3 linked regions of the Elephas maximus indicus genome follow. The protein of the gene in region 3 purifies or fractionates together with the protein of the main gene of each other region. This does not show direct contact. Links are inferred from orthologs where the notes say so. Each region holds a gene or a part of one and is shown on either strand. Other genes may lie near its edges. The genes, in order: NHP2, DKC1 and NAF1.

Evidence for each region.
Region 1: the proteins of NAF1 (region 3) and NHP2 purify together in Homo sapiens (affinity purification with western blotting; 3 studies listed by BioGRID and IntAct, with this or other methods). This does not show direct contact. The link is inferred for Elephas maximus indicus from reciprocal best matches to the Homo sapiens genes NAF1 and NHP2.
Region 2: the proteins of NAF1 (region 3) and DKC1 purify together in Homo sapiens (co-immunoprecipitation; 7 studies listed by BioGRID and IntAct, counting the BioPlex papers as one, with this or other methods). This does not show direct contact. The link is inferred for Elephas maximus indicus from reciprocal best matches to the Homo sapiens genes NAF1 and DKC1.

Annotation. Positions count from the first base shown.
Region 1 is NC_064820.1:198,294,687-198,305,175, reverse strand, and holds the start of NHP2 (H/ACA ribonucleoprotein complex subunit 2), read left to right. Parts: upstream 1-6,322; 5' UTR 6,323-6,431; coding exon 6,432-6,591; intron 6,592-6,664; coding exon 6,665-6,734; intron 6,735-10,316; coding exon 10,317-10,422; intron 10,423-10,489. UniProt on the Homo sapiens protein: Required for ribosome biogenesis and telomere maintenance. Part of the H/ACA small nucleolar ribonucleoprotein (H/ACA snoRNP) complex, which catalyzes pseudouridylation of rRNA.
Region 2 is NC_064846.1:1,272,879-1,283,534, reverse strand, and holds the start of DKC1 (H/ACA ribonucleoprotein complex subunit DKC1), read left to right. Parts: upstream 1-5,261; 5' UTR 5,262-5,364; coding exon 5,365-5,380; intron 5,381-6,058; coding exon 6,059-6,123; intron 6,124-6,528; coding exon 6,529-6,615; intron 6,616-8,494; coding exon 8,495-8,586; intron 8,587-8,761; coding exon 8,762-8,946; intron 8,947-9,237; coding exon 9,238-9,302; intron 9,303-9,608; coding exon 9,609-9,735; intron 9,736-9,966; coding exon 9,967-10,097; intron 10,098-10,187; exon of another isoform or gene 10,188-10,319; intron 10,320-10,604; coding exon 10,605-10,656.
Region 3 is NC_064831.1:14,548,437-14,559,885, reverse strand, and holds the start of NAF1 (H/ACA ribonucleoprotein complex non-core subunit NAF1), read right to left. Parts: upstream 5,055-11,449; 5' UTR 4,871-5,054; coding exon 4,539-4,870; intron 1-4,538. UniProt on the Homo sapiens protein: RNA-binding protein required for the maturation of box H/ACA snoRNPs complex and ribosome biogenesis.

The sequences.
Region 1 (10,489 bases), on a different chromosome or scaffold from region 3:
GCCTCCCACAGAATTAAAGAAATGGAAATTAAAGATACCATTTACTCCCTCCACAGCCACCGGCCAAAAAAGATGGCTAAAATGCTCTATTGGCAGCAATTAGCACATGAAAAGATGCTCAAAGTCTTTAGTCATTTGAGAAATGCAAATCAAACCCACAATGAGATGCCATTTCACTTCCACTATTGTTGTTGTTAGGTCCCAGTCCAGTCGGTTCCAACTCATAGAAGGAAACACTGCCTGGTCCTGTGCCATTCTCACAATCGTTATTATGCTTCAGCCCATCATTGCAGCCACTGCGTCAATCCATCTCATTGCAGGTCTTCTTTTTTGCTGACCCTCTACTTTACCAAGCATGATAGGGACTGGCCCCTCCTGATAACATGTCCAAAGTATGTGAGAAAAAGTCTTGCCATCCCTGCTTCTAAGGGGTATTCTGGCTGTACTTCTTCCATGCTTGATTTCTTCATTCTTCTGGCAGTCCACAGTATATTCAATGTTCTTCACCAACACCATAATTCAAAGCTGTCAATTCTTCTTCAGTCTTCCTTATTCATTGTCTAACTTTCACATGCATGAGGCAATTGAAAATACCATGGTTTGGGTCAGGCACATCTTAGTCCTCAAAGTGACATCTTTGCTTTTTAACACCCTAAAGAGGTCTTTTGCAGCAGATTTGCCCAATGCAACGTGTTGTTTGATTTCTCGACTGCTACCTTCACGGGTGTTGATTGCGGATCCAAGTAAAATGAAATCCTTGACAACTTCAATATTTTCTCCATTTATCATGAGGTGGCTTACTGGTCCAGTTGTGATGATTTTTGTTTTCTTTGTATTGAAGTACAATGCATACTGAAGGCTGTAGTCTTTGACCTTCATCAGTAAGTGCTTCATGTTGATGAGAATGTGGAGAAATTGAAATCCTCCTCCATTGCTAATGGGAATGTAAAATGGTGCAGCTGCTGTGGAAAACAGACGGCTCCTCAAAAAGTCAAATATGGAATTACCATATGACCCAGCAATTTCACTCCTAGGTATATACTCAAGAGAATTGAAAGCAGGGACCCAAACACATGCAAGTATACCAAAACTCATTGCAGTACTATTGATAATAGCCAAAAGGTAGAAACAACCCAAGTGCCCAAAATCTGACAAATGGATAAAAAAAATTGTGGTATATCTATACCATGTAATAGAACATTATTTAGCCATAAAGAAATGAAGTTCTGATATATGCCAAGACATGAATGAAGCTTGAAAATATCATGCTAAGTGAAATAAGCCTGACACAAAAGGACAAATACTGTATGATCCCACTTATATAAAACATCTAGAATAGGCAAATGCATAGAGACAAAGCTTATTTATTAGTGGTTACTAGGGACTGGGGGGAAGAGGGAATGAATTATTACTGAAGGAATTCTGTGCTTCTGTTTGAGGTAATGTACAACATTTGAAAATTGACAGTGGTGATGGTAGTAAGACAGAGGTCCCCAGGCTGCAGACAATTCCACTGCCTCAAGCAGCTTTCTTGGCATGCCCCGTAGCTTTACACTAGAATCCTGGTTCCTTTGCTTGGTATGCTCCTTAACTTTACATTAAAATCCTGGTTTTCCTCTCCTTATCTGTTGACCTAAAACTAGAGGAAATTGGTGGAAACTGGTTGAGGTGCCATGTTGACATTCAGGATACATTTTTAGACCTTATACACAGTAACTTCCCTGCCTCTGGGTGTAGTTTAGCAGCCATTTTCTAAACATGAGATGCATGAAGTTATATGCAAACCTCATTGTGCCTTCACAGTTCGATTAAGAATGTTGTTGATATAATCCGTATGAACTTCCTACTTGTAAACCCATCCCCCTAACCCTCATTGAGCAATCTTGGTGGCAGCAGCCCCGACTGTCTCCTTTCCTTGTGCAACGAAATAAAGGCTCTTTTCTACTCTCCCACCTCAGTCTCTCATTTATTGGCTGAGACGAGTCACGCAGAGCAGAACCTGGGGTTTCCACCTGGCAACAGTAGCACAGCATGGCGAATGTAATTAATATTACTGACTTGTACACTTAAAAACAGTTAAAATGGCAAGCTTTTTTAATATACATTTCACCACAATAAAATTAAGAAACAAAACCAGTATTGGCAAGTGTTTAAGAGATACATTATTAGATTTTGTAATAGTTTTGGCACAGATGTAGAGAAATTGGAACCCTTATATGTTGCTGGTGGGAATGTAAAATGATGCAGCCACTGTGGAAAACAGTCTGGCAATTCTCAAAAAGTTAGACATCAATATACCATTTGACCCAGCAATTCCACTCCTAGAGAAATGAAAGCATATGTCCACATAGAAACTTGACCATGAGAGTTCATAACAATACTACTCACAATAGCCAAAAGATGAAACAACTCAAATGTCCACCAACTGGTGAATGGATAAAATCTGGTATATCCATACAATGGGATAATATTTGGCCATAAAAAGGAATGTAGTTCTGACACATGCTGCAACACAAATGAACCTTGAAAACATTATGCTGGCTGAAAGAAACCAGATACAAAAGGTTACATATTGTACGATTCCATTTATATGAAATGTTCAGAATATGTAAATCCATAGAAAATAGAAAGCAGATAGTGGTCGCTTAGGGCTGGGGGTGCTGGGGGGTTTGGAGGTGATAGCTAAAATTATGGGGTTTCTTTTTGAAGTGATGAAAATGTTCTAAATTTGATGGTTGCACAATTCTGTGAATATATTAAAGTCATTGAATTTTGCACTTTAAGTGGGCGAATTATACAGTATGTGAAGTATATTAAAAAAAAAAAATCCTCCTCAATTTTTTAAAAGATGGGACCTTAGTCCAGCAAGGCCTAACTTTTTCACTTTAAAGATAAGGCACTAAAGCCCAAAGAGGTTAAACGACTTGTACAAAGTCACTGGGCATTTAGGAGCCTGGGTGGTACAAACAATTTGTAATTGGCTGCTGACCCAAAGATTGGCGGTTCAAATCTGCCCAGAGGCTCTTGCAGAAAAAAGGCCCGGTGATGTGCTTCCATAAAGATTATAGCCAAGAAAACCCTATAGAGCAGTTCTACTCTGTAACACATGGAGTCGCCATGAGTTGAAGGCTGACTTGATGGCAGCTAATGACAACAACATTTGACATTGAGAACTCTGGTCTACTGCCCATGAGTCACTATGTTCTCACCCACTCTACGCTGCTTCATGGAAGCTCGTGTGACCATTGTCGTAGAGCAAAATCATAAAGCCTGGTTAAAATCCAAAGTAAAGAAAGAGTTTTATTGAGGGAATAGAGCCAGCTGCAGCACAAAAAAACACTGCAACAAGAAAACGTGGCGTCCCACCAAATGCAACAGGTGAATCCAAGGGGGAGAAATTGGAGGCACGAGATTATAGGGCTGGAGGAGGAAGTACAAAACACAATATTCTGATTGGTTTACACTGACTGAAGTCAGTCAAAGGTAAGACAAAGTAACGGATAATCTTTGACATTACTGGTTATGTGAATACACTATTGGCTAAAAGACATAACTGAAAGGCATGGGGTCAAGGGGGGGCTTCACGTTGGTAATAAAGCAATGACATGATGGAAAATTTCCGGAGTGGTCTGTTAAAAGTTACCTTGCTCAGAGCGTCAATCTCTAGAGGAGATTGGGAACAAAGAGCTTCCATCAGGGAACAAATGAGTTTCTGGGAGGTATTCACATTCTTTAACCTGACCAGAGAGAAACTTAATTCCTTAACAATAATAGGGGTTGGTTTCTAGGCAACAAAGGTAGAGTAAGGGGGAAAGGTTACTTTGAGCTCTTAGAGTTAGCTAGCTCAGTCATTTTACAAATACTGTCAGAAGCCTCTGATTTTATCCTTTATCACCATTCTAACAAAAAAAATTGGTAAAAATCATACAAACCACCTTGAATCTGGCACAGACCTCTGAAGCTGGCTTTAGAAATACACAGCGTGGTTTACTGAGGACACAAAAAAGCTGACACTTGTGACCTGGCCAGACTGAGGTTCCTACACTTTCACTATCAGCCACATTTCACAATCTTTGCACTAAAACCAACTCCCCTAGTATGGGGAGAGTCTGGGCTTGGAGACAAGCAGACCGTGGTTCAAATCTAGCTGTATGACCTGAACCGAGCTACTCATCTTTCTGAGCTTCAGTAAACTGTGAATAATAATGGTATTTTCAGTGAGCATTGAATGAGATATTACATGTAATATGCTGGGGACACAAACATTCATTTCCCTCTTCCTTCTGTGTAAGAGGAGCCCTGGCGGCGCAATGGTTAAGAGCTTGCCTGCCAACCAAAAGGTTGGCAGTTGGAATCCACAGGCTGCTCCTTGGAAACCCTATGGGGCAGTTCTACTCCTTCCTATAGAGTTGCTATGAGTCGTAATCGACTCTATGACAATGGGTTTGAGGCCTTGGTGAGGTCAAGGCCTCAACCAAAAAAATATGTTTGAATTAGGTTTCTCCAAGAAGAATTTCTCCATTGCTCCCCTGGACAGTTCATCATGCCCCATGCACTCATCTGGGGAGCTTCTCATCTTTGTGACCCTGGTACATTTTCATACCAGTCCTACAAGACTGAATCTGTTCATAGGAATGTCCCTTGGGAAGGAACAGAAAACCCTGCCATAGGTTCAAAGGAGACCACAAAGCTGGTCTCACAGCCTTGCAGACCACGTGGAGAGGCCTTCCCAGCGAGGAGCAGAGCTGCTGCTCCAGGATGGCCAGGGGAAGGGCATGGCAGGGGAGATTTTGGGGGTGGGAAATGGTTACTGCAAAGTTGTCAGCAGTGAGGCAAAAACTGAGAGTGACTTGTCAACCTAAGGATCGGGAAGAGGCCACCTCAGGAAATTCCAAAGCAAAAAAATTTTATAAGTACATTTTTAAGTTGGACAAGTTGGCTTAACTGACCTATGCTCCAACTCCATGGCCTCCCACACACTTCAAAAGTTCCACTTACTGACCTGTTACATCACCACAAAAATGGCAGGCCTACCACTGAATAATCGAAGGCAATTAATTGGTAGCAATTATCTAATTAATATCCAGCCAGTGTGTTCCAAGACAGGAGTCCCTGGGTGGTACAAAAGGTTAAGGCTATTAATCAAGCAGGCGACTAACCGAAAGGTGGTTCAAATCTACCCACCCAGAGGTGCCTTGAAAGAAAGGCCTGGAAATGTACTTCCAAAAACCAGTCATTAAAAACCCTATGGAGCACAGTTCTACTGACACGCATCTGGTCGCCAAGAATCCAAACTGACTTGATGGTAACTGGTTTGGATTTTTTGGTCTGGTTTCAAGACAAAGAACTATGTCAAAGATACCAAGATCCATACCAGCCCAGGCCTGCTCACCTGACCAGCGCCCCCATCCCTCTACAGATCCATTCAAATCAGTCTGTCTCCTCAGCGCTCTCCTGCACCCCTCTTGCCCCAAATCTCAGACCCAAATGCCTTTCCCTCCCTTGTCCTTCATACCCAGCTCTGTCTCAGCGATGTGTGAAATGCCAGGCACAGTGGTAAGAACTATTAAGAAAATAAAAGGGATAAGGGATGCAGGTGGGAGGCCGGAAGGGGCCACAGCTTTGGATAACGTGATCAGAGGATCCTGTCCTATGGGGTGACATTTGAGCAGATACCTGAAGGAAGACACGAAGCGAGCCCAGGGGCTATCTAGGGAAAAGCGGTCAACGAGTGGGGCCATTCCTTGCTCTGTATCTTCCTTCCACAGCCGTGCAACGCGGGCCATGAGAAAGCAAATGGAGAGACACTATGCAAAAACGGAAGAAACCATTAGCAGTGTCAGGCTTTACCATTAGCAGTGTCAGGCTTTACCTTTAGCACTCAGACACTACCCAGGACCAGCTCAGGAGCCGGGACCTGACCAGGCTCCGCACTGACAACCTGAAACTTCAGACCTAACTAAATTGGTCCGGAATCACGCTAGCACAGATTTCCAGTTCTTGCACTATGGTCGCACACCCCGCCCATCGGGCGTGGATCCCGTTCCGTCAGGCATGGCCACGCCCCCACAGGTACTTCCTCCTGTTCCCGCTCCCCGCGACCCCCACTCTCAGACAATAGGAGACAATAGGAAAGTGCAGGCTATTCCCGCCCCACCCCCTAGGCCCCGCCCCTCGCCTTAGTTCTTTTTTTTTTTCCCCCCCCGGGCCCGCCCCTAATCCGCTTTGTCCAATAGAAGTGGCCCCGCCTCCTAGGGCCAAGACTCCGCCTCCCTCTCCGTCAACGATTGGCCTGAACCTAGTTTCCCAATTGGTTGTAGCGCACGGCTGGCTTCCCGCACAGTGGGACGACCCGGAAGTGATTTCTGCAGAGGCTTGCCGCGTGGGTTCGCCTCCCGGGAGTCGGCGTGGGTATTGCCGTGGCTGCCGCTATGACCAAAATAAAGCCAGACCCGGACGGGCCGGAGGCTCCTGCAGAGGCGTCCTGTGGGGAACGCACGTACCATGAGCTGCTGGTCAACCTGAACCCAATCGCGCAGCCCCTGGCCTCCCGCCGCCTCACGCGGAAGCTTTACAAGTGCATCAAGAAAGGTGCAGCGGGCGCGGGGGCTGGCGGGGCGCGGGGGCGGTGCGAGACCCCCGACTGACTCTCTTGTCGTTGCAGCCGTGAAGCAGAAGCAGATTCGGCGCGGCGTGAAGGAGGTTCAGAAGTTTATCAACAAAGGCGAAAAAGGGTGAGACTCCCCTCTCCGCCACGTTTCGCGTTTCTAAACGGTGAACTTAGGTGCTCTGTAAAAGTCGAGTGGGCTGACTGTCCCCTATAATAAAGCAGTCGGTAAGTTTCACTCAGTATAGATACCGACATACCATTTGCAGGAGCTCAGAGGGACCCCATGAGCAAAGTGAACTCCAGAAGGAAGCTAATCGTATCATCTAATTCAATTCGGATAGACCCCTCTCCCTTCATTTAGCAACTAAATGTTTTTTGAGGGCTTTGTCAAGCACTCTGCCTATGGGGATGCAGTGACATTGGGCAAATAATCAGAACACAGTTACAGGTTGTGATAATCACGAAGGAAAAGTGCCGTGAGAAAGACTTCATTCCTCTGCTTCTTTTCTGGCATTTAACAGAATCTGAAATTTGTATTTACATTTTTATCTCCAGTGCCTCCCACGCAGTCCAGACCATAAGCTTTTTGAGAACAGGGATTCCCATTGCTTTATCCCCAGCGTCTGGCACACTGTAGATGCTCAAGAAATAAGGCTGGGGGATTTGGTGCACAGTTGGGTGTCAGACCTAGTTTGACCTGGGTCGCGGGGAGGTCGTGCATCAGGGAGTTTTATTTGAGCTGAACCCTGAAGATGCAGGGGCTGATGGAGGTATGAGGGGGAAGGAGGTGGTTCCAGCCACAAGAGGGGCCTATGAACAATGGTAAGGACTTTAGTTTTTGTACTTGGTCTTTAGGGACCACTGAAGGGTTAAAGCCAGGGAGTGACATTATATTTATGCCTTAACATTTCTCAATCCAAGAAAGAAAGGATTAGAGAGACAAGAGTAGATTTGGGAAAACTCTTGCTAGGAAGGTTACTGTAGTCCAGAAGAGGTGAGGGAGATGGAGAGAATGAAAGTGGGTGGATTTGAGAGGATTTAGGATATGGAGAGTGAATTGCAATTGACTTCTGGATTTTGGCTTGCCCAGCCAAATGGATGGAGGGCCCCATTCACTGAGAGCCAACAATGGAGGGCCAGGTTTATGTGGGAATATCTCAAGTTTGGTTTTAGACAGTTTTTTTTAGGTCCCTTTGAGATACACACCCCCAGCCCCCAACACCCCTCTGCAGCCCCCAGTGCTACTCAGCAGCACAGGTGGCCACGTGGGCTAGGAGCTTGAGAGGACCGGGCTGGAGAGAACAGATTTAGGAGTTGTCAGCACACAGTGTGGGGAACACCAACACTTAAAGGAAGAGTAGTAGAGGCCAAGATGCCAAAAGAAAACTAGAATACAGAAGCAGCATTTTCCTGAATAATCTTTTTAATTTCTTCAATTGCTTTATCTCTGTGTTCCTTGGCTTGTTTTGCGTATTGCCTTATTTCCTTCTTGATGTTTTGAATGGTTCTGTATATTAAGCTTTTGTATTCTGCCTCTGGTAATTCCAGGAAGGCACTTTCATCTAGAAGATCCCTTGATTCTTTGTTTTTAGAGCTTGTTGAGGTGATCATGCTGTTTCTTTATGTGACTTGATATTGACTGTTGTCTCTGAGCCATCTGTAAGTTATTTTATTAATTTTATGTTTGCTTACTGTGTCATAGCTTCTTGCTTTTTGTTTTGATATGCCCAAATGGGTTGCCTGAGTGAGCTAGCTTGATTATTTCTGCCTTTGGGGCTCTGACGTCCTCTTCCCAGATGGTTAGAGTTGTTATCAGGTGTATTAGTCTAGAAGTCCATTCACTTTTCTTGTATGACTTCAGCTCAGGTGTCCAGGTAGCTGATCATCAAGTGTGTTAGTATAGGCTCTGTCCTACAGTCTTAGAGGGGCAGGGATGATTGGTGTAGATACCAGTATCTGGTTGCAGCAGGGGGTCATGCTCTGAACAAGGCGGGGCTAAGAATCATTCCCCATGTGTCTCTGAGGAAAGCCTGTCCCTGTTCCCTAGAGTGTACAGGTGGGTGGGTTCTGCAGACGGACCATGGGCACCCAGTGTTCTTGGTTGTAAGGACTGGGAGGTACCAGTTATCCCTGGACCCCTGTCGCGGGTGGCTGGGTGACCTGAGTGGAGCTACCAGTCCTTAGGCCCCTGATGTGGGTAGGTGAGGACCCTGTTCAATAGGCAAAGCAATGTCAAACATCAAGCACCCACTTTGCCGCCGCACAGCTGAAACAGTTGGAGTTTGCCAACAAGGATCTATTCTCCTGAGATAGGCTCACCCAGGTCCATGCAGACGGGAAAGGTACTCAAAGTCCACAGACTGTTTATACTTGGACGGGAGCTGCTTCTGTCCTGAGCTCCCCCGGTTAGTGGAGCTGGCAAATTATCTTTTCCCCTAATTGCAAATTTATTCCTTCACCAAGGCCGGGAGGATGGCTCTAGGTGCTCAACAGGGCCTATCTCAGGCCCAGGGAATTCAGCTGCTGAAGCCAGCTGGGGGTCCGGGGCGGGGGGGGGTTAAATTATACGCAAGTACTTAGTTTTTGCCAAGAGTGCCGTTCTCCTCAGATTCCAGAGGTGTGAGCAGGCTGTGTGGCTGGCTGCTTCTCCCTGAGGAAACTGCGGCCGAGCCGCCGCTCTCGGGAATGGTTCCTGAGGGCTCCTCGCGATTCAGGTCCAATAACTTGGTAAACTGTCTCTTCCTCCCCCTGCCCCTCAGTTCGTTTTCTAAGCTTGCCTTTGATGCTCATGGCTCTTAGCTTGTCATAAATATACTCGTTTCACTTGTTTTTTTGGGTCTCTGTTGTAAAGAGGGCTCACCGAAGTGTCTATTCTGCTATCTTGGCTCCACCTCTCCAGAAACAGCATTTTGAACTGAGACTTCTTGTGTCTGCCTGTCCCTCTGTGTCTTCAGGCCTCCTGTGGCCCTTGCCCAGAGCCCCAAGGCAAACCTTGCTAGTCGAGAACCCCGAGGATTCTCTGGCATGCCCTTAGTGGTTCCCATCACTCATGGGACACAGCCCAGGCTTCTTAGCCTTGGTACTCAAGACCCTCTGGCAGGTATGGCCCCCATCTGTCTCTCCAGCTTTCTTTTCCACCCTACTACCCCTGGATTGCAAATCCATCCCAGGTGGCCAACAACCCCCGTGTTTTGTGGTTCCATTCTGCTTCTCAGCTTTGAATGCTTTCCGTATCTCCAGTGCCCCATCCAACCATGGTTGCAGACAGACATCATTCAACCTTCAGTTCAAGTGTCACCTCCTCAGGCTTTTTTTTTTTGCGTCTCCTAGGAGAGCTGAGCACTTATTCCTTGGGGCCCGCCCCCCCTCCCGCCACACCTTTCCTGTCCCAGCACTATACCAGTTGGTGGCATAAACGTTGCCATGTCAGCTTCTACTGCTTAGTCCTTCTTCAGCTTTCTTGGGTCAGACATACTTTTGAAACTGTGATTAAAAAAATAAAGACCATCTCTTCAGAAGAACACACTCAACCAAACACACAATTTTGCACCCACTTTCAGAGGCTACATTCCAATATTAGTAACTGGGCTTCTTGAAGGCAAGGTCATCTCATTTGCCTCTGTATCCCCAAGACCCAGTCCTGAGGCAGCACTTGATTCCAAAAGGAAGAACAGGCCAGAAATGACCGTGATTTCTTTCATTTTAGGATCATGGTTTTGGCGGGAGACACACTGCCCGTTGAGGTGTACTGCCACCTACCAGTTATGTGTGAGGACCGGAATTTGCCCTATGTCTATATTCCCTCTAAAACGGTAAGGAGCACATGACCCTGCCAACCCTGGTCAGCTCTGGGGGAGGGGTTGCCTAGTAGGAAAAAAA
Region 2 (10,656 bases), on a different chromosome or scaffold from region 3:
CATGGCTCCAACCTTTGAAATCTCTGAGATCCTGGCCATACCTTTTGAGACTGAGGCAGCTCCGCTTCTTGTGTTGTCCCTTCAGCTTCTGCTTCCTGGTTTCTTGGGCTTGGGCCTCATACCCATGTCTGCCCTGCTGGGCAAGTGTTCCAAAGCTCTGTAGCTCCACTAAATAAGCTCTCTCACTTAGTGGATCGGCTCCACCACTGTCTGGCGCTGGTCTCCTGGTTCTGCTGCTGCTGGCCCTCTGTGGCTGCTGCTCCTCTACCCATTCACAAAACCCACTGCCACATTTTAGGTATCCGTTTTTTTTGTTGTTGTTGTTGTTAGAGCAGCACTCCATTCTCTTGGTACCAAATTCTCAGTTATTTAGTACTGCCATAACAGAAATACCACAAGTAGATGGCTTTAACAAAGAGAAGTTTATTCTCTCAGTCTAGTAGGTTACAAGTCCAAACTCTGGGTGTCAGCTCCAGGGGATGGCTTTCTCTCTCTGACGGCTCTGGAGAAAAATTCGTTGTCATCAATCTTCCCTTGCTCTAGGAGTTTCTCAGCACAGGGACCCGGGCTCTGCTCCTGGTGCTGCTTCCTTGGTGGTATGCAGTCCCCCTGTCTCTCTGCTCACTTCTTTCTTTTATATATCAGAGATTGCCACAAGACACAATCCAATCCGGTAGATGGAGTCCTGCCGTAGATTGAGTCCTGCCGCACTAACACAATTGCCACCCATCCTCCCTCATTAACATCACAGAGGCAGGATTTACAACATACAGGAAAATCACACAATACGGGGAATCATGGCTCAGCCAAATTGGTGCACACATTTTTGGGGCGACAGAATTCAATCCATGACAGCTGGCATAGGGAACCCAAGGTGGAGAAGGGAGAGTGTTAGATCACCAGGTAGCCCTGAGGGATCAACTGAGGTTATGAAACTGGCATGGTCATGCTAGTCAGCTGCTTGGATGCAGACAGAATAGGGGGAGAGTTGAATTTAGGCAGGTTGTGGTTTTGCTAGTGAGGATGATGGAAGGAAAAGGGGACAAGGGTTTAGGCCAGGCAACTAGAGCTGGAAGAGCCAGGGGAAATCAGGTGAGCAAGGCAGCACAAATCCCTAGGCCTCTTTCAAACTCACCCCGCTGCAGTTGGAAAATGGGCCCACAGGTTCCACTACCCTCCCCGCCTCCACCTTTAGCACTGATTAACCCATGAAGGGAATTTATGAATGAAATCCCTATAATATTGCCCTGGTGAATGACTACTTGGAGGGAGACCTCTCATGTTCATGCTGTGTACCAACTTCCCAGGATTAAGACAAAGAATGCACAAAACATAGCAAAAATGCAATTACTTAATCACTGTGGTACTAATACAGTAATCAACAAAATAGTCTAGAAACAAGTTGTAGCATATGACAAGTTAAATACATATAGTGAACATTAGTGTCAGTCCTTGAAATCAGGGATGTTAGAAACACGCCTTTATCTTCTTTTTTTAAAAATCTTCTATAGCAACTGAATTTCTAACTCTGAGGCTTCATTCCACTGAGCTGTCTCAAAATATTCTCTTGGGCTTCCTTGATTTTGTCTCTTCTCTGCCCAGGACTTGTGCTCTGTAACCTTAGGCTCACTTCTCTCAACTCTAGCCAGACAACAGACATAAAACAACAGACATAAAACACCAAAAAAGCCCAGTGCCATCGAGTCAATTCCGACTCAAAGCGACCCCATAGGACAGAGTAGAACTGCCCCACAGAGTTTCCAAGGAGCGCAGACATACTGCCATAGAACTCTGCATTTCTAGAGCTATGTTCTGCCATTGTGTTGTACATAGTTTGCTTTCATGGGAAAACATTTTGGGGCAGGGGCATTGCCCCCAAAACACACACACACTCACCTTCTCTCCTTCTCCAAACTCAGGAAGCTCTCTTGAGGGCTTAGTCTTTTAAACACACACCAGAAAGTCTTATAGGTACCACAGCTTTCCTTTGGTATGCCCCACGTTTCTCCTGAGTCATCTAAGCAGAGAGCTGGGTACCCTCTTGAATGGAGGCCTGGAGGGGGAGGAGAAAGGAAAAAATACAGTGCTAAAAATCCATCAATGAATACCTCAACTTTATTCAGCCAAACATGTAGTAATGCATTATTACACAATAACGGGGAAGTAAAAAACTACTAAACTACTAAAGGAGCTGCTCTGAGGGAGAAAGATGTGGCAGTCTGCTTCAGTAAAGATTTAGTAGAACTGTCTTATACAGTTTCCAAAGCTGTATAAGACAGTCCTACTCTGTCACATGGGCTCGCTATGAGTTAGAATCGATTCAACAGCAGTGGGTTTAAAAACTGCTCATGGATAGGATGATACTGGGAAATTTGCATCATTATTATTACCTCAACATACATGCACATAATAGTAATATCATTATTATAATGACATGTGCAAATGACATATACAAATACCTGGAGTTAAAAAAACAAAAGGGAAGAACACGCTCGGCATTTCTCAAGCTGAAAGAACCGAAGAAAAAATTCAAGCCTTGAGTTGCAACAGTGAAGGATTCCATGGGGAAAATATTAAATGACACAGGAAGCATCAAAAGAAGATGGAAGGAATACACAGAGTCATTATATCAAGAAGAATTAGTCAATATTCAACCATTTCAAGAGGTGGCATATGATCAGGAACCGATGGTACTGAAGGAAGAAGTCCAAGCTGCCCTGAAGGCATTGGTGAAAAACAAGGCTCTAGGAATTGATGGAGTATCAATGGAGATGTTTCAACAAACTGGTGCAGCACTGGAGGTGCTCACTCGTCTATGCCAAGAAATATGGAAGACAGCTTCCTGGCCAACTGACGGGAAGAGATCCATATTTATGCCTATTTCCAAGAAAGGTGATCCAATCGAATGTGGAAATTATAGAACAATATCCTTAATATCACATGCAAGCAAAATTTTGCTGAAGATCATTCAAAAATAGCTACAGCAGTATATCAACAGGGAACTGCTAGAAATTCAGGCTGGTTTCAGAAGAGTACATGGAACCAGGGATATCATTGCTGATGTCAGAAGGATCCTGGCTGAAAGCAGAGAATGCCAGAAGGATGTTTTAAAAAACTAGTTTTTATTCACTATGCAAAGGCATTCGACTGTGTGGATCATAACAAACTACAGATAACACTGCAAAGAATGGGAATTCCAGAACACTTAATTGTGCTCATGAGGAACCTTTACGTAGATCAAGAGACAGTTGTTCGGACAGAACAAGGGGATACTGATTGGTTTAAAGTCAAGAAAGGTGTGAATCAGGGTTGTATTCTTTCACCATACCTATTTAATCTGTATGCTGAACAAATAATCTCAGAAGCTGGACTATATGAAGAAGAGTGGGGCTTCAGAATTGGAGGAAGACTCATTAACAACCTGTGTTATGCAGATGACACGACCTTGCTTGCTGAAAGTGAAGAGGCCTTGAAGCCTTCAGTATGGATTATGCCTGCAAATAAGTGGTGAAAGGCAAATAAAGAAACCAAAAATCCTCACAACTGGACCGATAAGCCACATCATGATAAATGGAGAAAAGATTGAAGTCCAGGATTTCATTTTACTTGGATCCACAATCAACAGCCATGGAAGCAGCAGTCAAGAAATCAAAACACACGTTGCATTGGGTAAATCTGCTGCAAAGGACCTCTTTAAAGTGTTGAAAACTAAAGATGTCACTTTGAAGACTAAGGTGTGCCTGACCCAAGCCATGATATGTTCAATCTCTTCATATGCATGTGAATTATGGTGTCAGCAAAGAATACTGAATATACCATGAACTGCCAAAAGAACGAACAAATCTGTCTTGGAAGCAGTACAACCAGAATGCTCCTTAGAAGCAAGGATGGTGAGACTGTGTCTTACATACTTTGGACATGTTGTCAGGAGGGATCAGTCCCCGGAGGACATCATGCTTGGTAAAGTAGAGGGTCAGTGAAAAAGAAGAAGACCCTCAACAAGATGGATTGACACAGTGGCTGCAACAATGGACTCAAGCATAGCAACAACTGTTAGTATGGTGAAGAACCAGGCAGTGTTTCATTGTGTGGTACACAGGGTCACTATGAATTGGAACTGGCTGGACAGCACCTAACAACAACAACAACATACCCAAAGTCTAGATAGAATAAAAGTTACGTGAGATAAAAACCAATTGTATTTTTAGAAAGCCACAGTTAAAAGTCAAATTTTTCCAATCTTCGGATGGTACAGGAGGAATGGAGAAAAAAAGCTCTCCTTTTTTATCAGCAGCAACTCATTGGAAAACAATGGCAAACGATTCTGTTTGCAATAGCAATAAAGTATTAAATAACTAGGGCTCAATCAATTGAGACATGAACAGGATGAACACGGGTTCTTAAACCTGTAAGAATCTTTGGAAAGTTTTGGACCATCTCCCACATAAGATGCACCTACGAATGTTGCATACAGCCTCGGGAGTTCCAAAAGTTCTGTCACCAAGTCTAGAGACGCTAGGTAAAATATTTACATGAGCAGATGGCGAGGTCTTTCTCCCCGCAGTGAACCACCAGGGATCCTTTGTTCTAATTGAGATATGCTAAAAGCGTAAAATACACGCCGGGAACGGAAGAGTTAGCACGGAAAAAAAGTGTGAACTATCTCTCCATAACGTGTTTGTATTGCCTACATTGTGAAATAAAATATTTTGGGTGAGTTTCATAAAACACAATATTAAAATTATTTCCACCTGTTCTTTTTACTTTTTTCCATGTAGCTGCTGAAATAATAAAAAGTACACATGTGATTCGCACTCTATTCCCATTGGACAGCGAGGCTCTAGAGGGATGGTACTAGCGAGCTGCAAAGGAACTTCCATTTCTGTGACTCCATTTCCTCATTTTTCAATCGGCGCTGATTCCGACACCTACCTTAAAGTGTCGGCATGAGGAAGCAAAGAACTAACATTTACAGGGCGCTCTGGCACTCAGAACCGTGATCAGGTGTTGGGCGCCCAGGTTAAAGCTAACAAAACTCGACTACCATCCCTACTCCATCCCGCGGCAACCTGGCTGGTTACGCGCGCTCCTGGCTCGGGCCGCGGAAGGCGGGGCGAAGCCCGAGGCGCCTGCGCGCACGCAATACCTGGGCCGAGCCAGCCAATAGAGTTGCTGTTGCTTCCCTCACGCATTCCGGCTCCGCCCCTTGGCCCCTGCCCCGCCTCGCAGCGCCGCGCTCCACGCACGGGGCGGAGCACACGTGGGCGGGCCCTAGCGGCGCGGCCTGACGGGACCGAGGCGACGGGAGTCGGGCGGTTTATCCCTTGGTTGTGGCCTCGGCGGCGTGCACGTTGTGTGGAGAACATGGCGGACGCCGAAGGTAAGGACTGCAAGCCGGCTGGCCGTGCGCGCCCTGGCGGAGCCAGCTCTGCGGGCTAGAGGAACCGGGGGAGCGGCGTCGGGGCCCGCGCTCGTTGCCCGCCCGCTCCCACCGCCGGGCCAGCCCCGTGGCTCCTGGGCCTCTGGCCGGACTTGTCTCCTGGCCCTGTGCTGCTCGGGTGAGGACCCGAGATCTAGAGGGCCCTGCGGTGACGTGGCTCCGCAGGGCCCGAGTCGCAACCGAAAGGTGTGGCGGCGCTGGCGGCCCCGAGGTGGCGGCAGTCCGGCGAGTACCTGTGTGACGCTGCCGCCAGCGCCGCGCTTTGGGGGAGAGGGGTGGTGGGGACGAGCGGGGGAGAAAGTAGCTGAGGGCCGCAGGCGCGGAAGTAACTATGTCCCAAGAAAGACCTAGATGCCAGAAACCTCTGGCCGGGTGGCTCTGCGCGTTTTTTAAGCCCCACCGCGACCACGTGGTGAACCGAAAGGGAAGCCAACACGTGCGACAGGCGCTACTTAGGTACCGACCGACCCCGTGCGGAGAAGTGTTTGGCTTTACAGACTTTGTTTTCTCCGGGAACTATACACTAAAAATCTATATCTTATCTGCCCTGATTTCTGATTTTATGTTATTCTAAACTTTGTCCCGTTTGGGGGAAAATTTTCAAATCTCTGTTTTTAGTTGTTTTGTTGAAGAAACATAAGAAGAAGAAGGACCGGAAGTCATTAGCAGAAGATGATGTAGCCGTAAGTGGGAATGTTTTACCTTAAGTTACTTACAGAGCAAGTTGTAGGAAATAACTTTCTAAAGGTTTCTTAGAAACAACAAAGCCCCTGAGAATTAAACCATCTTGCCCTGATCCCCAGCCACCCGGTGTTTCTCATACTGGACCACTGTTTACTAAACGGTTTTAGTCTTACCAACTGCTCTCCTGAAAATCCGTCTCTTCCTTACACTACCCACAGATACTCCAGGCCCTTTTCTCTTAAAGTATTTGAATCCATCCTAGTGGTATTTCACTTCCACTTCGGAGCCCCTGGTTCATTTCTTCTCTTCCTTTCATACAGAAGCATAGCTTTCTATAGTAGGTACAGATTTGTTTAAAAAATCAGGTGGGAAGTCTAACAGGGTGCATTTGTGTCTTGCCAAAGGAAATACAACATGCTGAAGAATTTCTTATAAAACCTGAATCCAAAGTGGCTCAGTTGGACACATCTCAGTGGCCCTTGTTATTAAAGGTACGTGGTGAAGATCATGCATCAGGCTTTTAGGTTATTTTTAAATGTTAAGCAGTTTATTTTGCCCATTAATCTGTGGGTGTTGCTACACATGCAAAAACATCTGACTGTCCCGTGATTTTATCCATGCTTGAGCCTGTCTGTACCCTCTGTCTTGCCCATTAAGTTTCTCTTCTTAAAATCAGGAATGCTTAATGCTAGCATTCCTGACTTCTAGGAAGTGCCAGATGATACAGTCTAAAGCACTGTTCCCCAAAGTATTCGAGATGAAGGATCAGGTCATTCTTTTAAATTTCTAATGCACCAAATACTGTTGTAAAATACAGTTAAAATGCCACAGCTATGTTAAATTGCTATCAAAGTTTCTAAATGCTTAGCTTTCAGTTTCTGTGCTCTTGTCTTCCAGACCTGTCCTAGTTCATGGGCCACCCTTGGAGTAGTACTGCTCTAGTGCTTAAGATCATAGGCTTTGAAGCCAGCCAGTTTGATTCAAGCTATTTGTGACCTTGGGCCAGTCACTCCACTCCTCATACTGTTTGTTCAAAATACCGCAGGAGGTAACCCGTGAAATGTGTTTAGCCACAGTGCCAGGCGTGTAACATGTCCTCTAGAGATTACTGTCTATTATTTTTGGTCTTAGCCCTGCTGGTGCAGTGGTTAAAGTGCTTGGGTGCTAAGAGAAAGGTGGGTGCTTCTAACCCACTAACTGCTTTGTATGAGAAAGATGTGGCAGCCTGTTTCTGTAAAGATTGCAGCCGTGGAAACCTTACTCTCTTCTATAGCGAGCTATGAGTCAGAATCGACTTGATGGCAGCGGGTTTGGTTTTTTGGGTTATTTTTGGCCTTAAATAGGGTAGTTCAGTAAAGAATCTAATTACGTTGTGTTTTTGTTTTACAATTAAACGGGCACGTGGTATAAAGTTAGTAGAAAAAGTTACTGAGACACCCCTTGACGAAGAGTTTTAATAAGCCAATTTGCTTGACATAAGGTTTGCTCATATCTTTCAATAGAGCTGAGTTTCTCTTTGGCCAGATACCTCTGCCATTTAAACATTTGGTTTTCTATTGGGGGGCTTGAGAATCAACTGGTAAGCTGGGTAGACAAGGTCCCTGCTGTCCTGGAACTAAGATCTAGGTGTGGGAGATAGTTAAAGAAGTGCTGTTTGTAAGAAATGCTATGACAGAGCTAAACAGGGTGACAGGACAGCTGTGTTTGAATTGGGGTTCTGTTTCACATGGGGGAGGTGGCCATAGATGGATCCTCAGAAGTGAAGAGACTTAAGCATACTTGTGGACAGTAGAGATAGGAGCATCTAAAGGGGGAACAAGTTGGTCATGTTTGAAAAATGTTGGCACCAAAAAAAAAAAAAACAAACACAGTGCCATCGAGTCGATTGCTACTCATAGCGGCCCTAGAGGACAGAGTAGAACTGTCCCAAGGAGCACCTAGTGGATTCAAACTGCCGACCCTTTGGTTAGCAGCTGTAGCACTTAACCACTACTCCACCAGGGTTTCCATGTTGCCACCAGCAATCCTAAATTCGTCTGTCTTTTCCCCTGAGGAGGTGAAGGTTCTTCCATAGCAGTACCTAGTCTGTACTGTAGTACTCCCAGGAGCCTCCACTTTTTAAAGCAGTGTCTTAAATCTATGAGTCATCAAATTTGTCTTGTTCTTATTAATACGGGTAGTTTTGCCAATAGTTACGGAGACCTAACAGTCTGTCACAGCAGATAATGAAAACATAGGAGCAAAACCCAAACTGGTGTTCTTTAAGGGTTACCCTATCGTTGTTGCTTGGTGCTGTTTCATATTCACTAATAGCTTAAAAACAGGGATTGTAAAGTTAAGTTGATCTTGTGTTGTATTATTGCCTTGTAGAATTTCGATAAGCTAAATGTAAGGACAACACACTATACTCCTCTTCCTTCTGGTTCAAATCCTCTCAAGAGGGAGATTGCCGACTATATTAGGTAAGTGTCTGGAGCAGACACTAGTCAAACTTTCGTTATTTCTCATCAGTTATTCAGTGTGGCCGTATCTTTCAATAGCACTTGTACCCATGGTGATTTTCTTTTTACTTTTCAGATTTGTTGTTTTATCAGAAGACAAGAGCAGGTGTTCTATGAATTTTTTTTTCCTTTACAGGACAGGTTTCATTAACCTTGACAAGCCTTCTAACCCCTCTTCCCATGAGGTGGTAGCCTGGATCCGGCGAATACTCCGTGTTGAGAAGACAGGACACAGCGGTACTCTGGATCCCAAGGTGACTGGCTGTCTGATCGTGTGCATAGAACGAGCCACCCGCTTGGTGAAATCACAACAGAGTGCAGGTATGCAAAGGAGGGAGGGGAGGAGTGGGGACTTTGAGATCAGAAGGCTCTTTGTTTTTCTTCCTGTTTGTCTATACTTTGGCTTTTGAAAACAATTTCTTGGGGATAAAAATTCCCAGAACAGGATATTCTTTTGGCTTTTCTGTGCCTTCTGTCTGTCCTCTGCCAGATCCTTGTGCAGCTGCCCTTTCTTGGAGCTTTAGTTACCAGAGAGACTCTCAACTCATCACTCCAGGTTTGAAAACAGAAAACTTAGTGGCTACACCTAACTACTGTTCTGTCATTTTTTAGGCAAAGAGTATGTGGGAATTGTCCGGCTGCACGATGCCATTGAAGGGGGGACCCAGCTTTCTAGGGTAAGTCTGCATTTGCAGAGAAGTCCCCCTTTGGCGACTTGGATCTTCTGAGCCTAGATGTGTCTGAAGACAAGTCAGCATTCCTTGTTGGCCTGTGTCTTCCGTGGAACTCTCACACCCTTTCAGAAATCTTCTGGCAGTGTCCCCTCTGAGGAGGGGTTCTGATCAGCACTGGGCTACTCAGTGTATTTGAAGAAGCAGAAAAAAACACGTTTGATTAAGTTCTTAAAATCACAAAATACACCCTTTGATCTTATTTGCGAGTTTGTGCAGTGAGTCTTTGTTTTGATTTGTGTGTACTTGTAGGCCCTAGAAACTCTGACAGGTGCCCTATTCCAGCGACCCCCACTTATTGCTGCAGTAAAGAGGCAACTCCGAGTCCGGACCATCTACGAGAGCAAAATGATAGAGTATGATCCTGAGAGAAGATTAGGTGGGTCATTACGCTTTTGAGAAACTGACGTGGCATAGACCACAAAGGAGTAGGAATGGCTTTGTGAGAATTCTGTGTATAAAAGCAGAGGCTGTTAATACGTTGTGTAATCACAGCCTGTGTTTGTCGTCTCCAGCATCAGCTGGAGTAGGACTTTGTAGGTTTGTCAACCAGTGATGTGTCTTCCTTGGAAAATAAGTGCCACTTTTCCTCTGTGTGTGTGTCTCTCAGGAATCTTTTGGGTGAGCTGTGAGGCTGGCACCTACATTCGTACACTTTGCGTGCACCTTGGTTTGTTACTGGGAGTTGGAGGTCAGATGCAAGAACTTCGGAGGGTTCGTTCTGGAGTTATGAGTGAAAAGGTACGCTGTTCTAGACATTTTAGAGCTGGTTCTTACTATCTTCCAACCCGTAGTAGAACTCTACCCGCTTAACATCCTGGAAAAGGCAGCTTCCAAAGTGTTGAGTTCAGCTCAGGGCAGCTTCCCTGATCTGTTAATTAAACTTTGGGACATTGAAACGGGCTAGGGAAAATGAATGGATAGAAAACATTTCTTTATTCATTTATTTCCCAGCCTACAGAAATGCCTGCCTAGATTTATTGTAAAATTTGCTGCTGTCGAAGTCGATTCTGACTCATAGTGACCCTGTAAGACACAGTAGAACTTCCGCACCATAAGGTTTCCAAGGAGCGCCTGGTGGATTCAAACTGCTGACACTTAACCACTGTGCCCCCAAGATCCATAAAGCAACAGTTAAACATCTGCAGAGGTCAAGCAGTCCACACAAGTCCCATTCGTTCTGTTGTTGTTGAAGTTTAGGGTCGGGTTGGCTATTTGAGATCAGACGCTGTTGAATTCTTTTTTCAGGACCACATGGTGACAATGCATGACGTACTGGATGCCCAGTGGCTGTATGATA
Region 3 (11,449 bases):
TCTGATACAGTGTCAGAAGATGAGCCCCTCAGTTTGGAAGACATTCAAAATACAAAAGGGAAAGAGTGCCTCCTCAAAGCAGAGTCAATCTTAATGATGTGGATGGAGTAAATCTTCTGGAAACTTCATTTGCTGACGTCGCACAAGTCAAAATGAGAAGAAAAAGCTGCAAACATCCATTAATAATCAGAACCTGGAATATAAGAAGTATGAATGTAGGGGAATTAGAAGTTGTCAAAAATGAAATGGAACGTTTAGAGATAGATAGCCTAGGCATTAGTGAGCTGAAATGGACTGGTACTGACCATTTGAATCAGACAATCATATGGTCTACTATGCTGAGAATAAGAAATTGAAGAGGAATGGCATTGCATTCATCGTGAAAAAGAGCATTTCAAAATCTATCCCGAAAAACAATGAAAAACAATATTCATATGCCCACAAGGAAGACCAGTTAATACAACTATTATTCAAGTTTATGCACAAACCACTAATTCCAAAAATGGAACAACCGAAGATTTTTACCACCTTCTGCAGTCTGAAATTAATCAAACATGCAATCAGGATGCACTGATAATTACCGGTGATTAGAATGCGAGAGTGGGAAAGAAAGAAGGAAAATATGGCCTTGGTGACAGAAATGATGCCAGAGATTGCATGTAGAATTTTCAAGATCAATGACTTCTTCATTGCAAATACCCTTTTTTCAACAACATAAATGGGAACTGTTACACCTGGACCTCACCAGATGGAATACAAAGAAATCAAATTTACTACATCTGTGGAAAGACGGCAATGCAGAAGCTCAATACCATCATTTAGATCAAGGCCAGGAGCCGACTGTGGAAGACCATCAATTGTTCCTATGCAAGTTCACGCTGAAGCTGAACAAAATTAAAACAAGTCTAGGAGAGCCAAAGTACAATCTTGAGCATATACCACCTGAATTTAGAGATCATCTCAAGAATAGATTTGACACACTTAACACTAATGACCAGATGAGTTATGGGATGACTTCAAGGACATCATAAATGAAGAAAGCTAAAGATTATTAAAAAGAGGAGACCAAAATGGATGTCAGAAGGGACTCTGAAACTTGCTTTTGAAGACAGACTACCTAAAGCTAATACAAGAAATGATAAAAAAGAGCTAAAGAAGATTTCAAAGGGTGGCTCAAGAAGACAAAGTAGTATAATGAAATGTGCAAAACCTGGGAAAACCAAAAGGGAAAAACACACTCAGCATTTCTCAAACTGAAAAAAAAAAAAAATTCAAGCCTCAAGTTACAACAGTGAAGGAGTTTATTGGCAAAATACTGAACGATGCAGGAAGCATCAAAAGAAGATGGAAAGGAATACAGAGTCACTGTTCCAAAAAGAACTGGTCAACATTCAACCTTTTGGGAGGCAGCATATGATCAAGAACTAATGGCACTAGAAAAGTCCAAGCTGTACTGAAGGCATCAGCAAAGAACAAGGTTCCAAGAATTGACAGAATACCAATCGAGATGTTTCAACAAACTGGTGCAACTCTGGAAGCACTCGCTGGTCTATGCCAAGCAATTTGGAAGACAGCTACCCGGCAAACCAACTAGCCAGATCCATATGCATACCCAGTCCAAAGAAAGGTGATATAACAGAATGCGGAAATTATCGAACAATATCATTAATATCAAATGGAAGTAGAATTTTGCTGATAATTCAAAAATGGCTGCAGCAGTACATCCACAGGGAACTGCCAGTAATTCAACCGGGATTCAGAAGAGGATGCGGAACAAGGAGTATCACTGCCGATGTCAGATGGATCCTGGCTGAAAGCAGACAGTACCAGAAAGATGTTTACCTGTGTTTTATTGACTATGCCAAGGCATTCAACTGTGTGGATCATAACAAATCATGGATAACACTGAGAGTAATAAGAATTCCAGAAAACTTAATTATGCTCACGAGGAACCTGTACATAGACCAAGAGGCAGTCATTCGAACATAACAAGGAGATACTGGGTGGTTTAAAGTCAGGAAAGGTGTGCATCAGGGTTGTATCCTTTCACCGTATTTGTTCAATCTGTATGCTGAACGAATAATCTGAGAAGCTGGACTATATCAAGAACAGGGCATCAGGATTGGAGGAAGACTCATTAACAACCTGCATTATGCAGATGACACAACCTTGCTTGCTGAAAGTGAAGATTTGAAGCACTCACTGATGAAGATCAAAGACCACGGCCTTCAGTATGGACTGTACCTCAACATAAAGAAAACAAAAATCCTCAAAACTGGACCGATAAGCAACACCACAATAAACAGAGAAAAGACTGAAGTTGTTAAGAATTTCATTTTGCTTGGATCCACAATCAATATCCACAAGCAGTAGTCAAGAAACTAAACGATGTATTCCACTGGACAAATATACTGCAAAAGACTTTTTAAATTGTTAAAAATTAAAGATGTCACCTTGAGGACTAAAGTTTCAATTGCCTCATATGCCTGCGAAGACTGAAGAACTGATGCCTTTGAATTACAGTGTGGGCAAAGAATATTGAGTATACCAAGGACTGCCAGAAGAACAAACCATCTGTCTTGGAAAAAGTAGAGCCAGAATGCTCCTTACAAGCAAAGACAGTGAGACTTCATCTCACTTACTTTGGATGTTTTATCAGGAGGGACCAAAAAGGACATCATGGTTGGTAATGCAGAGGGTCAGGAAAAAAGAGGAAGACTCTCAACGAGACGGACTGGCAGAGAGTGGCTGCAACAGTGGGCTCAAACATAGCAATAACTGTGAGGATGACACAGGAACATAGCTATAATTGTGAGGATGACACAGGACTGGGCAGTTTCCTTCTGTTGTACGTAGGGTCGCTGAGTCAGAGCGGACTAGGGTCGCTGAGTCGGAACGGACTGGATGGCACCTAACAACAACTGTTGACCTATTATTAAGAGCCTGATGAGTGTAACTTTAAAATACTTAATCAAGGGAACCATGTGCTAGTACATTTCCCAACTATTTCCACACTTGGCCCTGTTCCACTCTTGCTTCTCTGCTTGCACTCTTTTCTAAATTCAAATCTCTCTTCACAGAGCAAAACTTATAAGAATGTTAACTGAGCATGTCATTCCCTGCTTAAAACTAATCAATAGTTTGCTTTTCTAGCACTTAGAATTAAACCTTTAAGATGGCTACAGGACCCTACAGGGTCAGCCTCCCTGTTACTTTCTCAGCCCCTTGCTTGTTACTTCATAATGATTTGCACCAACTCTGATCACTGTATTCATTAAACATGTTTACTTTTATATTTCTTCCCTCCCACTGGAATGCATGGCAGGGGTTGTGTCTATCTTGTTCACCTATTCAGTAGCCCGCAGAACACACTCAAATATTTGGAGACAATGTTCAGGGTTGTTTAAGAGCATCCTATATGCTGCAGTTTTGTCACAGACATTTGCATTAAAAACACAAGGGAAAAAAGCTCCTATAAAAGGTTCCTTTTTGTACTGTTAAAAAGCAAGGGTGTCACTTTAAGGGCTAAGGTGAGCCTGACTCGAGCCATGGTGTTTTCAATTGCCTCATCTGCATGTGAAAGCTGGACAATGAATAAGGAAGAAGAACTGATGCCTATGAATTATGGTGTTGGTGAATAATATTGAATATACCACGGACTGCCAAAAGAACAAACAAATCTATCTTGGAAAAAGGACAGCCAAAATGCTCCTTAAAAGCAAGGATGGAGAGACTTCATCTCACATACTTTGGACTATCAGGATGGACCAGTCCCTGGAGAAGGACATCATGCTTGGTACAGCAGAAGGTCTGCGAAAAAAGGAAGACCCTCGACAGGATGGGGGGACACAGTGGCTGCAACAAAGGGTTTAAGCACAACAATTGTGAAGATAGCGCAGGATGGACAGTGTTTCCTTCTGTTTGTTGTACACGTGGTCGCTATGAGTTGGAACCTACTCAAAGGTACCTAACAACAATAAAAGGTGTGCAGAGCATAAAACAATACTAAAGAACAACAATTAGCTAACTTCAAGAGCATGTGCTCCCCACAAAGATTCTGCAAGTTAGCAATTGGCAAGCGCCAACCTGAAGCACACAAAATAATCCTTTTCCTCACCCTCAATTCATCCAGCTCAAAAACAGGGGGATAATATACACACACACGCTAAACCTAATGAAACAATTCAGACCTGACACACGACTCAAAGTTACAAACTCAACATAAGAGAACAGTTATGCAAATAATTTAATATCCTAAGACTTTCTATATTCTAATTAAAGGCACGGCCTAGACACTGGCCCTTTCAGACGGCTGACTTTAGGGAAGTAGCGCGAACAGCTTATTGCACTGAAGATCCACAACGCGATGTCCAGAGGCATGGGCGGTCCCGGCTACAGGTCAACACGCGAGTCCTGAGCATCGGCGGCCTCCCCGCCGGCCCACACCCACTCGGGCGCCCTCTCGGCCCCAGGCCCCGGCTCCTCCCGCCCCTCATAGAAGCCCTCTTTCCGCAGCTCGGCGGCCGACAGGCACCAACCTGTCCGAGTCCGAGTCCGTGTCCGAGTCCGAGGTCTCCACGGAGTCCTGGGTCCGCGCCGGCTCGGCCGCAGCCAGCCCCGCGACGCAGTTCCCGCCGGGGGGCGCTTCTGGCTCCCACTGCGGGGCCCGGCTCCCGCCGGCGGCGACGGCGCTCACCGCGGGCTCAGCCGCCCGTTCCCCGGCGGGCCGAACCTTCGCTGCCTGCCCGGAGTCCGGAGACGCCTCACCCGGCTGCAGTGGCGGCGCCGTCAGACCTTCGCCAACCGCAAGGCCGCCGCCATTGAATTTCAGAGTCTCCAGCTGAGCGGCGGCGGCTTCCACCACCTCCATTTCCCTGCGTCAGAGCCCGACTGGGGCTCACGCTCTGGGACCCCGGAAAGCTCGTGGTTCCCTCCGGAGACGGTAAAATAACCTCAGCGGCCGACGCACCAGCGCCTGACCAACTTCCCGCGCTTATGGGTAACTACACGCGGACCAGTCCGGAAGCACAATGTCGCGGTGTGCGCAGTGGCACTTCCGGGGAAGCCTGTGACGTAAGGGGACGCGACGGCACTCGCGGGGCGGGAGCGAGGCGGGGCATGGGCGGGGCGGGGGCGGGCGGGGCGGGGCGGGGGCGGGCGGGGCGGGGCGGGGGCGGGCGGGGCGGGGCGGGGGCGGGGCGGGGGCGGGGACGGACCTCCGGGACCTCTGGACTGAGAGCTGGGAAGGCATTTAGTTCCTGGCTCTCTTAACAACTTCGGGCCTTGTCTTCCTATCCCACTCCCAGAGGCTGGTATTTCATTTTGCTGAATCAGGATCATTGGTACTCGAACCACGGACAAGGAGGAGGGATTATGGGGCAGGGGAGATGCCTGCAAGTCCCAGGCTCTGTACATCAGAAACTTGTGCCAGAAAGCCTTAAAAAAAAGACACTTTTAGTAACTTCATTGTAGTTGAACTTAGACAAGTACATGGATAGCAAAAACATTGACCATCTCAAAAAACTGACAGCTATGCAAATTTTTGTTTCCCTAAAAGAACTCTAAAGAGAGAAGTAATGGAGAATGGAATTTTGCTGCTTGTTGATATTTTGATGATGTCTGGTCTATTTGACACTGCTTCATAGAATGGTGACATGATGCTAAAACGTAGTAACAGACATTTGGGTTGTTTCCACCTTTTGGAAGGTCCCTAGGTGGCACAGTTTGCACTAGACTGCTCAAGGTTGGAGGTTCAAACCCACCCAGCCATACGTGGAAGAAAAGGCCCTGCAATCTGCTTCTGTTAAGATTACAGCCAAAATACAAAAATCAGTTCGATTCCCTACAACAACAAAAAGAATATCGAAGAGGAAATCACCAAATCAATACCATTAACAGTAGCCTCCAAGAAGATAAAATACTTAGGAATAAATCTTACCAGAGATGTAAAAGATTTATACAAAGGAAACTATAAAACACTTCTGTAAGAAACCAAAAAAGAGACATACATAAGTGGAAAAACATACCTTGTTCATGGATAGGAAGACTTAACATTGTAAAAATGTCTGTTCTACCAAAAGCAATCTACATTTAATGCAATTCTGATCCAAATTCCAATGACATTTTTTAATGAGATGGAGAAACAAATCATCAACTTCGTATGGAAGGGAAAGAGGCCCCAGATAAGTAAAGCATTACTGAAAAAGAAGAACAAAGTGAGAGGTCTCACTCTACCTGATTTTAGAACATATTACACAGCCACAGTAGTCAAAACAGCCTGGTACTGGTACAACAACAGTTACATAGACCAATGGAACAGAATTGAGAATCCAGACATAAATCCATTCACATATGAGCAGTTGATATTTGACAAAGGCCCCAAATCAGTTAAATGGCAAAAAGACAGTCTTTTTAACAAATGATGCTGGCATAACTGGATATCCATCTGCAAAAAGATAAAAAAAAGACCCATACCTCACACCATGCACAAAACGAACTCAAAATGGATCAAAGACCTAAATATAAAATCTAAAATGATAAAGATCATGAAAGGAAAAATAGGGACAATGTTAGGAGCCCTAATACATGGCATAAACAGTATGCAAAACATTACTAACAATGCAGAAGAAAAAGTAGATAACTGGGAGCTACTACAAATCAAATACCTATGCTTATCCAAAGACTTCACCAAAAGAGTAAAAAGATTACCTACAGACTGGGAAAAAGTTTTTAGCTGTGACCTTTCTGATCAGCACCTGATCTCTAAAATCTACATGATACTGCAAAAACTCAACTACAAAAAGACAAATAACCCAATTAAAAAATGGGCAAAAGATATGAATAGACACTTCACTAAAGAAGACACTCAGGTAACTAACAGATACATGAGCAAATGCTCACGATCATTAGCCATGAGAGAAATGCGAATCACAACTACAATGAGATTCCATCTCACTTCAACAAGGCTGACATTAATCCAAAAAACACAAAATAATAAAGGTAGGAGAGGTTGTGGAGAGACTGGAACACTTAGACACTGCTGGTGGGAATGTCGAATGGTACGACCACTTTGGAAATTGATTTGGTGCTTCCTTAAAAAGCTAGAAATAGAACTACCATACGATCCAGCAATCCCACTCCTTGGAATATATCCTAAAGAAATAAGACCCTTTACACAGATATATGCATACCCATGTTCACTGCAGCACTGTTGACTATAGCAAAAAGGTGAAACCGAATAAGATGCCCATCAATGGATGAATCTCGTCCCCGTTGCCGTCGAGTGTTTGGTTAGCAGCCATAGCATTTAACCACTATGCCACCAGGGTTTCCCAATGGATGCATGGATAAATAAATTATGGTCTATTCACACAATGGAACAGTGATGAACCTGTGAAACATTTCATAACATGGAGGAATCTGGAAGGCATTATGCTGAGTGAAATTAGTCAGTTGCAAAAGGTCAAATATTGTATAAGACCAGTATTATAAGAACTCAAGAAATAGTTTCAACAGAGAAGAAAATATTCTTTGATGGTTAGAAGAGGGGGTGGGAGGGAAGGAGAGGGGCATTCTCCAATTTGTAGATAAGAACTACTTCGGGTGACAGGAAAGACAACACACAACACAGGAGAGGTCAGCACAACTGGACTAAACCAAAAGCAAAGAAGTTTTGGAATAAACCGAATGCTTCGAAGACCAGTGTAGCAGGGTGGGGGTTTGGGGACTATGGTCTCAGGGGACATCTAAGTCAATTGGCATAGTAAAATCTATTAAGAAAACATTCTGCATCCCACTTGGGAGAGTGGCGTATGAGGTCTTAAACGCTAACAAGTGGCCATCTAAGTTGCATCAATTGGCCTCAACCTACTTGGAGCAAAGGAGAATGAAGAATATCAAGGACACAAGGTAATTACAAGCCCAAGAGACAGAAAGGGCCACGTAAACCAGCAACTATGTCAGCCTGAGACCAGAAGAACTAGATTGTGCCTGGCCACAACCAATGACAGGCCTGACAGGGAACACAACAGAGAACTCCTGAGGGAGCAGGAGAGCAGTGGGATGTAGACCCCAAATTCTCGTAAAAAGACCAGACTTAATGTTCTGACTGATACCCCGGTGGTCATGGCCCCCAGACCTTCTGTTAGTCCAGGGCAGCAACCATTCCCAAAGCCAACTCTTCAGACAGGGATTTTACTAGACAATGGGATAGAAAAAGATGCTGGTGAAGAATGAGCTTCTTGGATCAAGTAGACACTTGAGGCTATGTTGACCTCTCCTCTCTGGAGGGGAGATAAGAAGGAAGAGGGGGTTAGAAGCTAGTGGAATGGAGACAAAAAGAGAGAGTGGAGGGAAGAAGTGGGCCATCTCATTGGGGGAAAGCAATTAGGAGTATATAGTAAGGTGTATATAAATTTTTGTATGAGAGGCTGACTGGATTTGTACACTTTCACTTAAAGCACAATTAAAAAATAAATAAATTATTTTTTAACATTATAACAACAACAACAAAAAAAAGATTACAGCCAAGAAAACCTGATGAAGCAGTTCTACTCTGTAATACATGGGGTTGTCATGAGTCTACACTGACTTGATGGCAATTAACAACAGCAACCACTTTTTGGATATTATGAATAATGCTGATATGAACATAAATGTACAAGTTTTTGTGTGGACATATGTTTTCATTTATCTTGGATATGTACCTAGAAGAGAAGTTGTTAGGTCCTGTGGCAAAGCTATGTTTAACTTTTTGAGGAACTGCCAAACTGTTTTCCATTGTGGCTGCACAGTGTATTATCTTACCGGCCATGTGTGAGGGTTCCAATTTCTCCACTATTGTTTGTTGTTTTGATTATGGCCACCTTAGTGGATGTGAATATCTATCTCATCATGATTTTGATTTAAGACGTTAAATACATTGCTTTATGTGTTTATTGAACATTTGTATGTCTACTTTGGAGAACTGTCTATTCTAATCCTTTCCTCATTTGGTTATTTGTCTTTTTATTTTTCAGTTATAAGATTTTCTTAAATATATTCTGATACTATTCCCTTATCAGGCATATGATTTGCAAATATTTTCTCCCATTCTGTGTGTTGCTTTGCTTAGTATAATTTTAAAATACAAGGTTCCAGGAGGAAAATCAGCAAAAGACCCATTTGAATTAACATCAAAATCTAATTCATTAACACACTTGATATCTAAGGGGAGAAAGAGGTACAGAAGGCCAGAAGAGACTTAAAATTTGAGAACCTACCATGTGCCAGGAATTTCACATGTTGTCTCATTTGGTCCTCACAGAAAGTCTGCAAAGTAGACTCTCTTATCCTCATTTCACAGGTAAGGAAACCGAGGCTTAGACAGATTACATGGCATCCAGTCCAAACTCACTGTGCCTATTTAGGGCAAAACAGGGGTTCAACTGTGTGTGCCGGACTCTTCATCTTGTGCCAGTTCTATTCTCAGATTACCTCTCTTGTTTTCTAAACATTCCTAAATTTGGGCAGAATAAAAACTTTCAGATGATTACCATTTGCCTTTAATGAGAAGATTCTGTGCAATGCTTCAGCTCCTTCCAGGGAAAGCTGCTACATTAATGCCTCATACGCATTCACTGGGCATGTACTAAATATCCCCCAAAGACATGTTGCAGATCGACAGGCTTTTACTGATGTTAGGCTTTGCATTTCCATCTCAACGTTTAGCTATTGCATAAAGCAGAAAAGCTTGTCGTTTTTAATGTGTTTAAAATATTTTCAGGTGCTAGTTATTTTACTCATGCATAATCAAGACTGTGTCAGGTGCTAGATCCGATATGCAGAGTCATTGATTACCATAGGAGATACTTTTGTACTTTTTATGCTCCTGAGGGAGACAGGAGTGAGGCATGTGTTGATTGAAATTGTCTCCTGGGAACATTTCATTAAAATACGTATCTGACTCCAGGTCTTTTGCCAAGTGCTTTTTTTCTCCTACATCATCTTATAAAATTAGAAATGAATAAATTGAATGATCATAAGAAGTAACAGTATTCAAGCCTAGATCTATGTGACCCAAAAACCTGTGGAATTTTTTTCTACACCTCTACACCAGTGAATAATGGAATGACAACATGCAGTTTACTTACTTTTGTCTATATTCCATGTCGTCAAAACTACTGATTGAAAAGTGAGTAAAGGCAATTAAGCAAAATATTGTGCTTTTCCCACATATGAAGGAAAAAAAAAAACTGTGATGAATTTTTTAAAAACCAGATTTTGGGGGGCGCCAAGAAGGCAGTGCTAGGAGCACAGTGCATGGTTGGACCTGAGGTCCCTGCACTTGAGGTGCTCCCAGACCAAGGGAAGACAGATGAGAAGAACCTTCTTCCAGAGCTGACAGAGAGAGAAAGCCTTTCCATGAAGCTGGCACCCTGAATTTGGACTTCTAACCTACTAGACTGTGAGAAAATAAATTTCCTTTGTTAAAGCCAAAAAAAACAAATTTTGACTAGCTGTTTGGTTATAACATCATCTTTAGTCCTGCCACTCTCACCTGCTTTTGAAATTTTTGTTTATTTTTATCTTGAACTTCAGTGTTTTCTGAATTAAAAAAAAAAAAAATGAAATGAATGAGCATCAATGTCAAATTCAGTTTAACTCGTTCCATTCATTTTCTTGTATATTTCCCTTTGGAAGACTATTTTGTAAACTGTTTTATCTGTCCTATGACATGCACCTCCACTAATACCCAGTAGATGTTAATAGCTGCTGGTTATGGAGCATGTATATGTTGGTGCATGTCAAAATTTATCCCTAATTCTCCCTTTATGTCTGTATTATTGTCCCCATTAAGTGTGTAAGAGACTGAGGTGTGGAGAGAGTCAGTGACTTCACCATGGCCATGAGTGGTGTTCTGATCCTGAGATGTCCAAGCCCAAAGCTCATGGTCTTTTTTGCTGTATACTTCCCACTGCATTTTATGAGCAGTGCGTTTATCCAAAGGCATAACAGATGGCATGGGACAACCACAGAAGTAAGGCACAGGCAGAAGCTCCAGGGTGCCCTCTGCCATTTGTTTTAAGCAGTGACAACAAGCATCATCTATTACAGCCACAGCGTTTTAATATTTAGCCACTAAAATCGTATCAAAACCTTTCCTGGTGTTAGATTATTTTCGTAGCACCAAAACATACTTTGTAGACACATTGGGGTGTGCCTGAAATGCAGTCCCTGCCTTCAGTGAGTGGTTTGTTGAAAAGACAAGCAATGTTTTTTATGCAACAAACTCTCTAAGCTTCGCCACACTCATTTGCCAAATGAAGAAATTAGACTAAATACCTAAGTAGGAGCCCCAGTGGTGCAATGGTAAAGGGCTCAGCTGCGGACCAAAAGATTGACGGTTCAAAGCCACCCAGTGGATCTGAGGGAGAAAGACCTGGTGATCTGCTTCTGCAAATATTACAGC